Schizosaccharomyces pombe: one gene and its partner. The protein of the gene in region 2 purifies or fractionates together with the protein of the main gene of each other region. This does not show direct contact. Each region holds a gene or a part of one and is shown on either strand. Other genes may lie near its edges.

Region 1 (5,326 bases), 280 kb from region 2:
CAAATGGAAGATGAGTAAAAAGTAGTTGTGTTCGCAACGTATTTGTCCTCGGAATATGCGGATATTTTGATCCAATGTTTTTGCATCGCTACTTTTATGTGTTTCATTTTGTACCACTACAATTCGAGTTTTTAAACCAGTTTCAATTCCATCCTTCCTAACCATGTTTTCTTACCACTAACTCTACAGATGCTTGCACTCAGCGATCACTCGCATCCCCCCACTCACACATTCTCCCTTTCTACTTCCTCTCCTCTTGTTAGTGGACTTTTCTTTCTACTTTGCACGCTCGCTTACAATTCCATGTACCACGCCCATCCTCCTAATCTCCATATATCAGCATCATGTACCGTGCTCCTCCTTCGTCTCCCACGTGATCCATAGATAACGAACATCATAGATAAGCCGGTAAGACTATTTAAGTGCAGTGGAACAGCAGGCACACTAATCCTTAAGATTTGACCAAGTTGGTTCAGGTTGGTATAGTCTTATTTAGAGTGCGTGTGTACGTAAGAAAAGAACGCAGAGTGCGGGATCTAGACATTAAACACCTCAGTTCTCCGCTGTTTAACCAATCTTACTAAACCTAAGTTCAACTATCGCTGTTACAATCGTTGCCTTTTTGTTCATTCAGAAAAGCATAAAAAGCGAAGAATATCCTGCTTTCCCCACATCTCCATCACATTCTTTGTTGTACTCAACTCGAGATTTCTAAATAGTTGTACAGCGGTTTTTTTGTGTGTTTGTGTGTGCGATTTGCTTTTGTTTGACAGAAAGCCTTTATTCAAGATATCAACTATACCAGAACTCAAGCACGAAGGTTCTGTAAAATAATCAATCGATCGTCTCATCCTCTCAACGACTTGTATTCATCATGACTCTTAGTGGAAAACCTGCAGCTTTACTCGTTGGCACTTTGAAGCACGCTCATAAGGAGTGGGAAGCTCTTGGAAAATATGCAGAGTTGAAGGTAAAGAAATAGAGAAGGGAGGGAAGAAGGGACAGTAGTGGGAGATGGAGGTTGAAGGATGAGCAGAGGATATGGAACTAAAAAATTCAAGAGTGATTGCTTGTTTGTTGTTCTGTTGCTTCTTCTCCCTCGTCCTCTGCTTCTGCGATTCTGTTGGATTTCTTGGCTATCTAGCGGATCTCCTAGCTTCCCGACAAAACCTCAACATATGCGCTTAGTTGTGTTTACCTGTTCTTGTTTACTAATGTCGTTTTAGACCTACAGCGATGGCACTCGCGAAGACTTCTTGGCCAAATGCAAAACCGAGTTTCAAAATGTAAAGGCCATCTGTCGTACTTACAACTCCAAGTTTTACATGGGCATTTTTGACAAGGAAATCATTGATAATTTGCCCCCATCCGTCAAGTTTATCTGCCATTTGGGTGCTGGTTATGAAACTGTTGATGTGGCTGCTTGTACCGCTCGTGGTATTCAAGTCTCCCACGTTCCCAAGGCTGTCGACGATGCAACCGCCGACGTTGGTATCTTCTTAATGTTAGGTGCCCTTCGTGGATTTAACCAAGGTATCTTTGAGTTACACAAGAACAACTGGAATGCAAATTGCAAACCCTCTCATGATCCCGAGGGTAAAACGCTTGGTATTTTGGGTTTGGGCGGTATTGGTAAGACCATGGCCAAGCGTGCTCGCGCCTTTGACATGAAAATCGTATATCACAATCGTACTCCCCTTCCCGAGGAAGAAGCTGAAGGTGCCGAGTTTGTCTCATTTGACGATCTTTTAGCCAAGTCAGATGTGCTTTCCCTCAATTTGCCCTTGAATGCTCACACCCGGCATATCATTGGAAAACCAGAATTTCAAAAGATGAAGCGTGGAATTGTCATCGTCAACACTGCACGTGGTGCCGTTATGGATGAAGCTGCTCTCGTCGAAGCTCTCGACGAAGGCATCGTTTACTCTGCCGGTCTTGACGTATTTGAAGAAGAGCCCAAAATTCATCCTGGTCTTTTGGAGAACGAAAAGGTGATTCTTCTTCCTCATTTAGGTACAAACAGTCTTGAGACCCAATACAAAATGGAATGCGCTGTTCTCATGAACGTCAAAAATGGAATTGTCAATGATTCGTAAGTCCTTATGTTTTTCCCCTTTCTTTCAATTTCTAACTTTTTTTCTAGACTTCCCAATTTGGTTCCTGAACAACGTGGTGATATAGAGTAGATTATGTTTTTCTGTCTACTTACCTCGGCTTTACGTAAATCGACTTAAATGTTTTTATATGCTTATGTTATACGGTCGTTCAAATATTGATTCATTCGTCTCAAATTATGGTCTATTCATGACTATTTTCATTATATAGTAAATACATATTTCTACTGTTCTTTCTCATTCTTTCTCCCTAGCAGATTTCGTAAAACGACAACGATGAACTACTGCTGTAGTTTCAAACTCTTACATTTACATCTTAATAGCAAAAAAGCATCGTTGATATGTAGCGGTTCTCTTTTTTTCTCCAGGTTTAATAATACACAGTTAGAAAGGACCATGATAATAATTCAGAAAATTTTAATTAATATTTACAGTACCCAAAAATGCTTCACATCCCTTATTCATACAATGAACGTCCAGTCAAATTGAAAAAAAAAATGAGCAACTCTTAGTTGCGTTTTTTCTTCTTTTTGTTTTTATTTTTCTTTGTTTTTCGGGCATTGGACTCTTTGGGGGAATGTAGAGAAATGACATCTTGAGACAACTCATTAACTTTCCTCTTTTTGGATTCCTTTGCCGGGGCCTTCACCTCCATTTTACGGGATGCCTCCGCCTTTTTAGACACTAATTCTTGTTTACGACGTTCTCTTTCTGTAAGCTCCGATGTGTCCGTTATTTTAGTACCGTTTACATCAACCTCTTCATTCTTAGAAACATCTTTTTCATCCACATTTTCCTCTCCTAGTTCCTTATTAAATAATCCAAAGCTAGCTCTTCCTTGTACTAAATTAGGTTCATTTGAATGACTTTCAAGATCGTTTTCTTCAATCAGACCCCCATAACCCGATTCATATTCTACATTACGAGTCATCTTTTGGGGTAAAAAATCAACTTTTCCTGCAAGACTCCAATGCTCATCTGTAACAATGTTCTTGCTTAACTCTTCTTCTGCTTGCTTCGGGTCAATGCCTCGAGCGCGTTGCATAAACTACAAAATACAGGTTAGTAGAAATTTTTCTTAAAAATTTGACTAAATTTCGTACTTTCATAGAAAGAAGTTTAGACGACATTTTAAAATAAATATCTTATCATAAAAAAAAACAATTGTTTTACTATTGCTTACAAAATCTATGAAAAAGAGACTTTGCAGCTAGCAGAAGAGTAGGTCTCGTCACACTTGTTTGGATAGCGAGAAAAACCGCAGTGCCAGAATGCAAAACTGAAATTAAGATGAGAATATAAAATCAGTAAATTTGAGAATCGGATTAGGGAAAAAAAACTAATTAAATAATAAAGACCTATCGATTTCATCAAAGGGTTTAAGTGGGAAAGCCGCTTTACTCAATGTCATGCTTTCCTTGAACATGTTGCCATTTTCAATGATAGTAACATTGGGAATTTCGTAAACTTCATCTTCACAGCGTTGAGAAACAACATGCACAGATATTTTTTTAGTATTTTCTCCTTCATAATGAATGTTGTTTATGAAGAAACTGTAAAACTCATCCTTGGTAATGGTAGACACAATTTCTGCTTGCTTTTCCAATCTGGTAAAGTCATAAAATCCATCACAAATACGTAACCAATACATAGAAGATTCCTCTTTTAAGTTTGTATGCTTTTCGAGCATAAAGTTAATCAAGCTTGATTTGTGCTTACTGAAATCCTCGTCGGACATTTCTAAAAATTCGCTTTTGAATTGATCCAACAAGGCACGAATTCTGGACTCTAAGTATGTACTACTTCTCTCACTTTGCACAAAAATATTCAAATTTATAAAAGGCGTGACTTGACGAACTAAAGTAAAAACAATATAACCAAGTTGTTCTTTAGTACGCAAGATGGAGAAAGTGGGTTCCTTCATTATTTGCCGTGCTAGTCGAGTTAGGGCTCCAGATCTTTCATCGTCAAGCTGGCTGATTTGAAGATTATACATAATAGCAGAATTTTTCTCTTCCTTGTTTGGCACCACAGTTTTGTAAATATAATTACCACCTTCAGGAACTATTATAGCCCTTTTACGGCTCAACTGGGATGCAAAGACTGGTTTTGGGTCAATCAGTTTTTGAGCGGATTCAATAAGATTTTTGGCATCTTCCTCGGTATAGTTTCCATGTACCAAAGATTCTAAAAAGTTTTGTTTTAATAAATCACTAATAAAATCAGACATATCGCCCACCTGGACATCTTTAATAGCTTCACGTAACTCAGCATTTGACCACGAATGCGGTTCGCTCAACCATGTGAGTACATGGTTTGAACGATGATATGCTTCCAAAGCATCATAATCTTTAAGTTCTTGTTCCAAGCGATTCTTTAATATTTCAAATCTTTGCGGATGAACTTTGAGATCACGCATCATTGCGACTACTTTTTCCAAAAGTACATGTAATTTATCAGTAAACCCTGAAATACAAAGTATTATGCCACGAGTAGATGGTGAAAGTGAAAAGGAAAGACCAGCTAAGCTAGCAGGATAAGAATATTCTCCTAGAGCATCTTCTATTAATCGCGTGTAAAGTGTCGTCGACACAGAAACTTTGGGAGACCTCCTGGCGATTGGAGATATGAAATTTATGAAAACGTTAGCTTTAGGTACCCAAAAAGTGTCATCCTTTTTATGCCATAATCTTACAAATTTGTCATTTCGCACCAAATTCGGCACTTTCAGTTTCGTCGTTACTGGCTGCTTTTCAACTTCTAAAGACCAAGGAATGAATTCATTTGCCAAAGGCAAGTAAAGTTCACTGGATGTCTTAATATGTAGCAAAGAGTCTATAAACTGAGAATCCAAATCCTCCAATCCGTAATCTATGCCATAGAACTTCTCTTTATTATCAAGTCCTTTCTCAATTGAATGAGCAGCTAAAATGGCAAAAAAGTTATTAGGACGAAGACTCTCAACAACCTCCTGAATACCTTTAGGGTCAAATTCAGTGAGTACTGAGGAATAATAAAGGACTTTATCACGAGGATATTCTCGTTGAAGCTTGCTAGCAACAACATGCGCATACTGGTAAGCAGGGGTTTTTTGTCTCGTTTTAAATTGAGCCTCTGACATGATACGGGTTTCTTCAAATAAAAACTTGTGAGCATTTGTCTGGTCGAGCAATCTTATATATTCAAATAAAATTTTAATAACCCTCTGGTAA
Region 2 (8,365 bases):
TTTTATATTCTTCGTTCAAACCAGAATTCTTCCTACTGTGATGGTGAAAATTAAATTTTCTACCACGAGAATGACCTGTTTTAGAGAATTGAGGAATTTCCTCCGTAGACTGCAAGCCAGAAGCAGGCGCCATAAAAGTCTGATTTGATGCGTGCAAAAGGTCTGTAAGTGAATTACTAGAAGCAGTCCTTTTAGCGTGTTTTTGCCATTTTGTAGGATCAGTGTGCTTCAAAGAAATCCTACTGGATGTAACTGTATTAGAATTTGTATACAACTTCAGCAAATTTGACAATACGCCGCCACGATAAGAAGCCTTAGGATTAGCAAATGGATCAGATTCATCTATATTGTCATCTTGTTCGTTATCTTTAACATCTTCTCCTTCATCATTAGCGGCCTTCAAAGCGTTTAGCCTCATATGCTCTAATCGAGCTGCCGTGTGAGCAGCAACAAGCTTGTACGCTTCTGTTGTAGTAGAGGGTAGTTCATTAGTTGATTCGACATTAGACATTTTTTCCGGATCGCTCTGTAAATTTTTAGCAGCGATCATAGGTGCTGAGTAGCTTCTATCCAGAGTAGGCCTACGCATTGGTAAGCTATTGACGGAATTTGAACTACTTTGGGTTTTATAGCTAGCTGCATAGCTTTCAACGTCTGTATTCCTAGCATCCAATAGGCCTACTTTTGATGCGGTAGGACTTGGAACAGCCGGCATGTTTACTAAATATTGATCCATGGAAGTTATAGAGCCTCTTTTGCGAAAAGCAGCAGGAGAAGGCGCCCTATGAACAGGAAGAACCTGTGGTCCATCATCATCCTCTGTATCTTCATCATCTTCTTCTATTAAAAATGTAGGGGTCTGAAACGAAGTGGAACTCGGAAAAGATGTTTGTAAGGGAGAGAGGTAAGGTCGTCTATCGGTATTGAAACGCACTCTACGATTTCCGTCCATTGTTTTTTATTTTTCTAAAAAATAACTTTTCTTTTCTAAAATGATAATAAAATTTGAAGATATTCGTGTCGCTGATGTTAATCGCAACAATCAACACACGCCCATAAAAAATCTAATTTACTTCATTCAATGAATCATCACAAATATGATCAATTGTTTTAAAATAATTTAAAACAATTGCAATTCACTAGTTGAAGCACTACAGTTTTCAATTGACACTCCTAAGTGGGTTTATGCTAGGTGGTTAGTGAACACTTTACGCCTCTATACCAAAAATTCCACGTGGTTCGCCTTAATGTCGTTCGTGTCTAGAGCCAGCTTTAGGGAGTAATCAGTATTTTATATTTATTCTTTTAAAATTCTCCGGCCGTATAATAAAAAATTGATGGTTTCTGATGCTGTCGGCGGCGACGCAAATTCATTAAATATGAAATATATTTACTGCCCAGCTTTAAAAAAAAATATACAACTTAAACGACAAAGCTTCCCTCACTTTATTCTGCCACTTATCTATATTAAAAATGTATTTACTTATTACTTTAATTAGTTTTTACAAATGACCATTAAACTCTGTCAACATAATATCCTGTTTCTACAGGATACAGTCATTTATTTAATGAATAATCATCGGTAGTTACTAGCATTATAGCATTCATGCCACGAATCTCAGACCGTGAAATAAAATACTATATAAAAAGATTATAAGCAGCATTAAGCCAGTAATTTTCGTTAGTATTATTTGGTTTTATTCAAATAAGCCGATGATAATAGAATGTCACGAAAAGCGAGATTCATGGAAACAGAAAGTTTTAACTCGGTGCCCCGAAAAATAAAATAATTAACCAACATCAACAACTCGTCTCTGGAAAATGCATTTAAAAATGTTGTTTTCAAGTCAGTTTCATAAAATCTTTTTCTTGCTTTAGCAAGACTTTTGATATGTAAAGGTTCTAAGTCAAGATGAAGAAAAATCTGTAAATTGTTTATTATATTCAAATTCTCCAGCACATACTTATTGTAAAAGTCATCTGTAAGGCTCATCGTGCTAGCTTTAGAATACTGATAAAACAAAATCCTTAAAGCTGCCATAGGAGGAAGGATTGCCATATCCAAGAACTTTTGAATTAGGAAAGAGGGGTAAGGAATCAATAAATTTCGTGGACTTTTAAATTTTGATAAGATATACTGCTGGTCCTTTTCAAATTTCATATTTTCTCTTCGAGAAAATGACCACGAGATGTCTCCTAATGTCTCAGCAGTCATAGGATAAGGCACGAATGAAAGAAGGTGTCTATTCCTTTTAAAAGGATGCAACAAAGACGATTTTGAAAATTCCAAAAGATTTGCATTCGTGATCCCATGTTTTGTAAGAATATCAGTTATTTTTTCGATAACTGGGTATGGTTGGTTTACTAAAAGTAAACATGCACTCGGAGAGCTTTTAATTTCAGGAATTAGTTTATGAATTGAGTCGACAGTTAGATTCCATTTGGTAGATACTATAAAGGTCACTCCCTTGTATCCAGTATATTCTTGAACTTTAAAAATGCTATGTGCATTTTCGGGATATTTAGTAATACATTTAACGCCCTTTAAAAATTCATTTTTCAGTTTCGTCTTTAAAAGTTGTATTGCTGAGTTTTTGATGTTATGAGTACCCTAGGTTTTAGTAGTTAGAGAAAGAAAGAGAAAAATAATGATATGTAATATTCATTCAAAAAGCTAACCTACAATAAATAGACTCATACGTCTAAATGAGTTGTTTCGACCGTCCGAATTTTGCTTTTATTAAGTCCAGTAGAATAATCGCTGTAGACGTAAGTAAAAGGTCTCTTATGTTACAGTCAATTAGGGTTTATGTGTCTTTTACATGCTAATGTTAACTAAAGAAACTTTTTCAAAATTTCTTCAATAATCTTGCATTTGGGAGCTTTAAAATTTGATTATCGAATAAGAAAGTAATATAACTATTCACATAATCCATAGTCTCTTTGTTTATTCACATCCATTAGAATAGGCTTACAAAGTACTTATACTATTTATGAAACGCCTCTTATTAATCATCTAAAAAAGTATTTATGTATAAATGAATTTGAAAATGTTAACTGAAAGTGCGAAACCAATTTATGCAACATGAATATTCTATCTACTATAATAAATGTACATCAAACATTACCAGTACTAAAGGTACTTAATTTTCTTTATAAGTTAAAACAAAAACATGCAAATTCAAATATTCCGCCAAGCAATTTTTAAATTGTTGCGCGCACTTACGGAAGAGTATAGCTAATAATCATAAAAGCTATGATGACGACGCCTCTCAATTTCCTCTGCTAATTCATAGTCGTTATAATAAGGCGCAGAAGGCTCATAAGTAGTATGCGTTAAAGGCATATGCTGCCGAGAAATACGAGAATCAGACATGTGAGGCGGACTTTCATAAACTCCATAAACTGAGGAAGTGGGGTAGTATGGAGAAATCTGTCTATGCCGTTTATGGTAATACGGAGAAAACGATGAATTGTTAGATTCGTATGAATAGTGCGTTTCAATAGGAGGCGGACGATTCAAATGGAGCAGGGAGCGATTTTCTAAAATTGGCTCCCAATTATATCTTGATTGATTTGAAAACTGAGAAGGGCTCTCATGAAGACGATGAATGCCATTATAAGGAGGAAGCGATTTACGGGAAAGAAAAGTGCCGTCATAGTCTACAGAATTCCTTATCCCCGGAGGTAGAATATAAGTATTTTGATGAGGGAAAGGATGAGAAGTTTGATCTAAAGAAACCGGTTTATCTAAAAGGACAGCAGAAGGACGAGGGTGAGGCATTATATCCTTATAATCCCGAGTTGACATGACATTGTTCTCCAAGGACAACTCAGGTATTCGATTGACTTGTAGCGATTGCAATTCCTTTGGATAGGGGATCCAAGATGGAGAATACGGATGCAAATCCGAAATTGGTGATTGATTTCCCAGAATGACAGACGGCTCTTCGTTTTTTACGGAGACAATTGAGTTTTTTTCATCTGATAAAGGAACCGAAGGAAACCTAGTAGAGCTAGGTCTTGTTGACTGGGGAGGTGAAGGAAGGCGAGGAGAAGTAAAAGCTTTGTTAATAAGTAGGTTATTGCCCTGCTCACTCGATTCCAAATGTTTAAGACACGGGACTGCAACGTTAGTTGCCCTCGGAGGAGAAGGAGCTGACACAAGCGATACGGGAAGCGCAGATGATGGTGGAGACGGCATATACAGGTTTGATAACTCCACTGATCCAGTATCATTTTTCAACGGACTACGGCGAAAAGTGTTCGGTTGATATGTCTCTTTATTCACATTTTTTTTATTTTCCTTAGGCGTTGATGAAGAATTGCTAGGAAGAACTGAAGAAGGATTAAAAGCTTGATTCCCATACAAAGATAAAGTACTCTTTGCTAACAATTTATTAGATTTTTCCGGTTTTGAGGACTCCTCTTGAGTCCCAGTAGAAGATTGTTTGCTAGTGTTTACAACGGGAGTAATATCCTCTTTCATCAAACCAGTGGCTTCAGGTTTTGTTTGACTATTAAGTAAGGAATTAAAATCACGGTTAATGTCTAGCCGTGGTAAATTAGTAGATGATTTAGAAAAACAGTTTTCGGACATAGATTCTCTGTTACTAAAACCTCCATTCTTAAATTCAGAAGGAGTATTTTCATCTCTGGTTTGTGCTTTGGGTGATGATTTCAGGAGTTTGTTATTACCTTCATCATTTGCAATTTCGACTTTCCGTTTAACAGAATCAAAATTTTTTAAAGATTTATGTAATCTATCTCTTAAAAATTTTAAACGAACATTGTTCGGAACCAAAAATTGTTGATGTTTCCCTTCAAACACAGTATCTCTAAAAGAAATTATTTTTTTGTATTCCTTCTCCACAGAAGGTTCAACGGCATCCATTAATATTTAAATTTAACCAAAACAATAAAAATTCATGAATTCCCAAAAAAAGTTTTATTCAACATTTGGATGTTGCCAAGATATACGCTCTTGAATGTGCGTAGAGGTGACCATTAAGGAGCGCTGCACCACTGTATATATTATCTTGCATAATACAAACATAACAAAAACATTCATTAATCAAAATTGCTAAAGGCTCAAATGGGTTCTTTTATATTCTGGATACTACAAAGTTAAGCTTTTGCATTGTACGAATCACATTATTTTTTGCTTCAATTACGCACACTGCCTTAGCACAAATCTGTTTTACTTTTACCATTGAACGTGATCAGCAATTGTATTAAGACAGGGGTGAATGTGAACTACTAAATAAATTAACAGTCGATTTAAGAGAAATGCCATCGATTATCCTTTACTGTTCGTGGAATCAAGATCGTGGGTAAGTGGCACACATAAAATAGATTTTGTGCAATCTTTGTACTGACTGCTAAATTTAGCTTTTTATCAATTGGTTCTGAGAATGGCTATCAAGTTTATCGCTCCAATCCGTTTACCCTGTGCTTTTCAAAAAGTAAGCTGTCAATGAATTTCCGAGAAGTGGAAACACAAGCCCATCTTACACGACTTATAACTTACTGATTGTAGAAGCCAATGGGGCAAGTATTTGTGAAATGCTTTATGAATCTTCTCTACTTGCTTTCGTGAATATTTCCCCTGAGTCGACGAGGTTACTAAAATTGGTTGACATCAAGGTAATTAGTTAACTGAGATTCTGCATTGATTTCTTAATTTTAACCCATATTTTTAGAGAGATATCGTTTTATGCCGAATATTTTATCCGAGTCCTGTGCTAAGTGTACGTTTCACATGGAATCGTTTAGTTGTTTTAATTAAAGGGAGTATTTACGTATATAATCTAAAAAACATGGAATTAATTAATACTCTAAATACCTCGAAAGGAAATGTTATAGCTTTTGCTGTTCATGAGAATTATGTTGCATATAATTCACCGACCAACCCTGGTGATATTTATTTAGCCTCATTGGATACTGCAATACCCGTCACATTGATTCATTGCCATTCTTCCGCTGTCCAAGTAGTTGACTTTCATCCGCGTGGACATTTGATTGCGACTGCATCCGCAAAGGGAACTGTAATCCGTGTTATAACAACTAGTGATGGTGAATTGGTGACAGAATTGCGCAGGGGATATATACCTGCATCCATTGTATCTATCTCATTTCACCCAGTTGAGCCTTTTCTGGCTTGTGCTTCTGAAAATGGTACTATTCACGTTTTCAAAATCTCTAAGCAACCATCGGATCCGAATTCGTCTCCTACATCTTCCGTAACTGTGTCATCTTCTTGGTCAAAATATTTAACTTCAAATGTAGCAAAAGTTTGGGACACTAGGAAAGAATTTGCAACTGCTAAGATTCCTGAAGCTTCTTTCTATGGAAAAATAATTTTTTCGAGCAGCGGTCCGCACATACAAGTAGCTTCTTATTCAGGACACTATTATCGGTTCGCAGTAAATCTTAAAAATGGAGGAAATTGTGCTTTACTTGAGCGTTACATGTAAGCTGTTTGTTAAATTTTCGATTATTAACATATCTAGCTTTGACGATTAACTTTTTGCGCACAAGTTTTAAATTTACTCATACATCAGCTTCACAATGTTTTAGCTTTCATGGTCTTATGTTTTTTTTTTATTTACTGAACATGCTATCATTTATGTTTAGACCTTTGTAGATAATTTATTAAAATGTTAATGTCGATAAGTTGGTGTTTCACTAATATATTATACACCGGTACAGATGTGAAAAATTATCATTACGGTAGACACCTTACAAGTGCATCATATATCCTATATAAATTTTATATGCATTCCATAAATTCAATATTTGTACCGAAACAGGAGAATTAAAAATTCGAAGATAACAACATTCTATTAGAAACCCATAAAATTAAAGTAAATTTTTAGCGGCACGTTGACAACGCTAAAATCCAACCATGAAAAATTCCAGCTATTAACAAGTCCAAGAAGAAAGTAAAACATACGATGACTTATAAGAAGTAATCGGGTGTTCTTCTGGTGACATGTAATTCCTCCTTTCGGGGAGCAGTATCATATTGGATAAATGCGTAATTTATGTGGTCATCAATTCCCATAATGGCTGCTTGGTTTCCACATCGATAACAATAATTGGGAGCAGAAAAAATAGTAACAACATTATGGTTTGTAGTCCAATTATAACCTTCCATAACTAGCTGATGAGCTCTTGCTATTAAATCTAAACCGTTATTATGGTTAAATGCTTCAGCAATATCCGGGCCAAACGTATACCCAGCACCTCGAGGAGAAATACCCCAACCAGGTCGGTCATCAGGATCTGACCATAACAAGTCGCATATCGGACCTTCATGAGGAACCTCTTGCACACGATCTAATATACGAACATGGTCAAGTGTATCAATACTAGGAGAAAGACCTCCGTGAAGGCAAAAAATTCGATCTTCAATTAGGGCGGTGAGAGGCAAATAGTCAAAAAGATCTGTAAAGTACTGCCAAACATTCGCATTTCCATACTTTCTAAGGCATTCATCATAAAATCCATAAACTTGTGTAATTTGCCTAGATTCATGGTTTCCACGTAATATTGTTATACGCTGGGGATATCGAATTTTAAAAGCAATCAGTAGAGAAACTGTTTCTACACTGTGATATCCTCTGTCAACATAATCTCCCATAAACAAATAATTTGTATCAGGTGAAGGGCCGCCAATATTGAACAACTCCATTAAGTCATGGAATTGTCCATGAATATCACCACAAACCGTTACAGGGCATCGGACGCTTTGAACGTTTGATTCTACAGAAAGTACCTCTTTTGCGAGATCACACATTTGAATGACATCTTCCTCTGAAAGAGGTTCGCATCGACTCAACTGTTCAATCCAACGATCGACCTCTCCAATTTTTCCAGAGACAGACATCTTGTTGAAAAAAACTTAAAGCAATAGTTAATAAACGACTAAATTTTTAATTAAAAAGAAAAGCATCCACAGAAAAATCCATAAGGGCTTTTCCGTTTGTATGCTATCCTGCGTTGAGCATGCGTTTTTCAACTTCCCACTTACGAATTCACTGGATGACGGGGGTATTGTAAGCTTATTCACTTTCTTGACAAAATAATGGTGTCTGAGGTACGTTTACTGTACATATACTGTATTTTATTATTTATTCGTTCGTATGTGGGAAAGAGAAATATTATGTTTTACAGACACGGTGGGGAGTTAGGTGAAGAAAGAAAATGATGCGAGTACGGGAAAATTTGTATGAAGGTTGAAAGGTATGGTAGTAGACAGGATACATAAAGTCACAATATTTCATGTTTTAAATTTTATTTCAATTTATTAATAACCAAAATATTACAGACATGGATTTCGTAATAGCAATTTTTTCTGCAA

The links. The genes of interacting proteins can lie anywhere in the genome.
Region 1: the proteins of iss10 (region 2) and mpp6 purify together in Schizosaccharomyces pombe (affinity purification with mass spectrometry, with the first as the bait; one large-scale study listed by BioGRID). This does not show direct contact.

Annotation. Positions count from the first base shown.
Region 1 is NC_003424.3:2,888,076-2,893,401, reverse strand, and holds mpp6 (nuclear exosome-associated RNA binding protein Mpp6), read right to left. Parts: upstream 3,327-5,326; 5' UTR 3,245-3,326; coding exon 3,218-3,244; intron 3,182-3,217; exon of another isoform or gene 3,163-3,181; coding exon 2,623-3,162; 3' UTR 2,515-2,622; downstream 1-2,514. Other genes in the region: SPOM_SPACUNK4.20 (uncharacterized protein), read right to left, coding at 627-851; gor1 (glyoxylate reductase), read left to right, coding at 875-970, 1,227-2,092, 2,144-2,186; iph1 (metallopeptidase), read right to left, coding at 3,454-5,326. UniProt on the Schizosaccharomyces pombe protein: RNA-binding protein that associates with the RNA exosome complex.
Region 2 is NC_003424.3:2,607,629-2,615,993, reverse strand, and holds iss10 (protein Iss10), read right to left. Parts: upstream 4,969-8,365; 5' UTR 4,895-4,968; coding exon 3,239-4,894; 3' UTR 2,992-3,238; downstream 1-2,991. Other genes in the region: SPOM_SPAC7D4.12C (uncharacterized protein), read right to left, coding at 1-952; SPOM_SPAC7D4.13C (uncharacterized protein), read right to left, coding at 1,688-2,611, 2,684-2,698; phosphatidylinositol-3,5-bisphosphate binding protein Atg1802, read left to right, coding at 5,290-5,333, 5,392-5,465, 5,540-5,646, 5,703-6,472, 6,513-6,525; serine/threonine protein phosphatase PP2A catalytic subunit Ppa1, read right to left, coding at 6,962-7,891.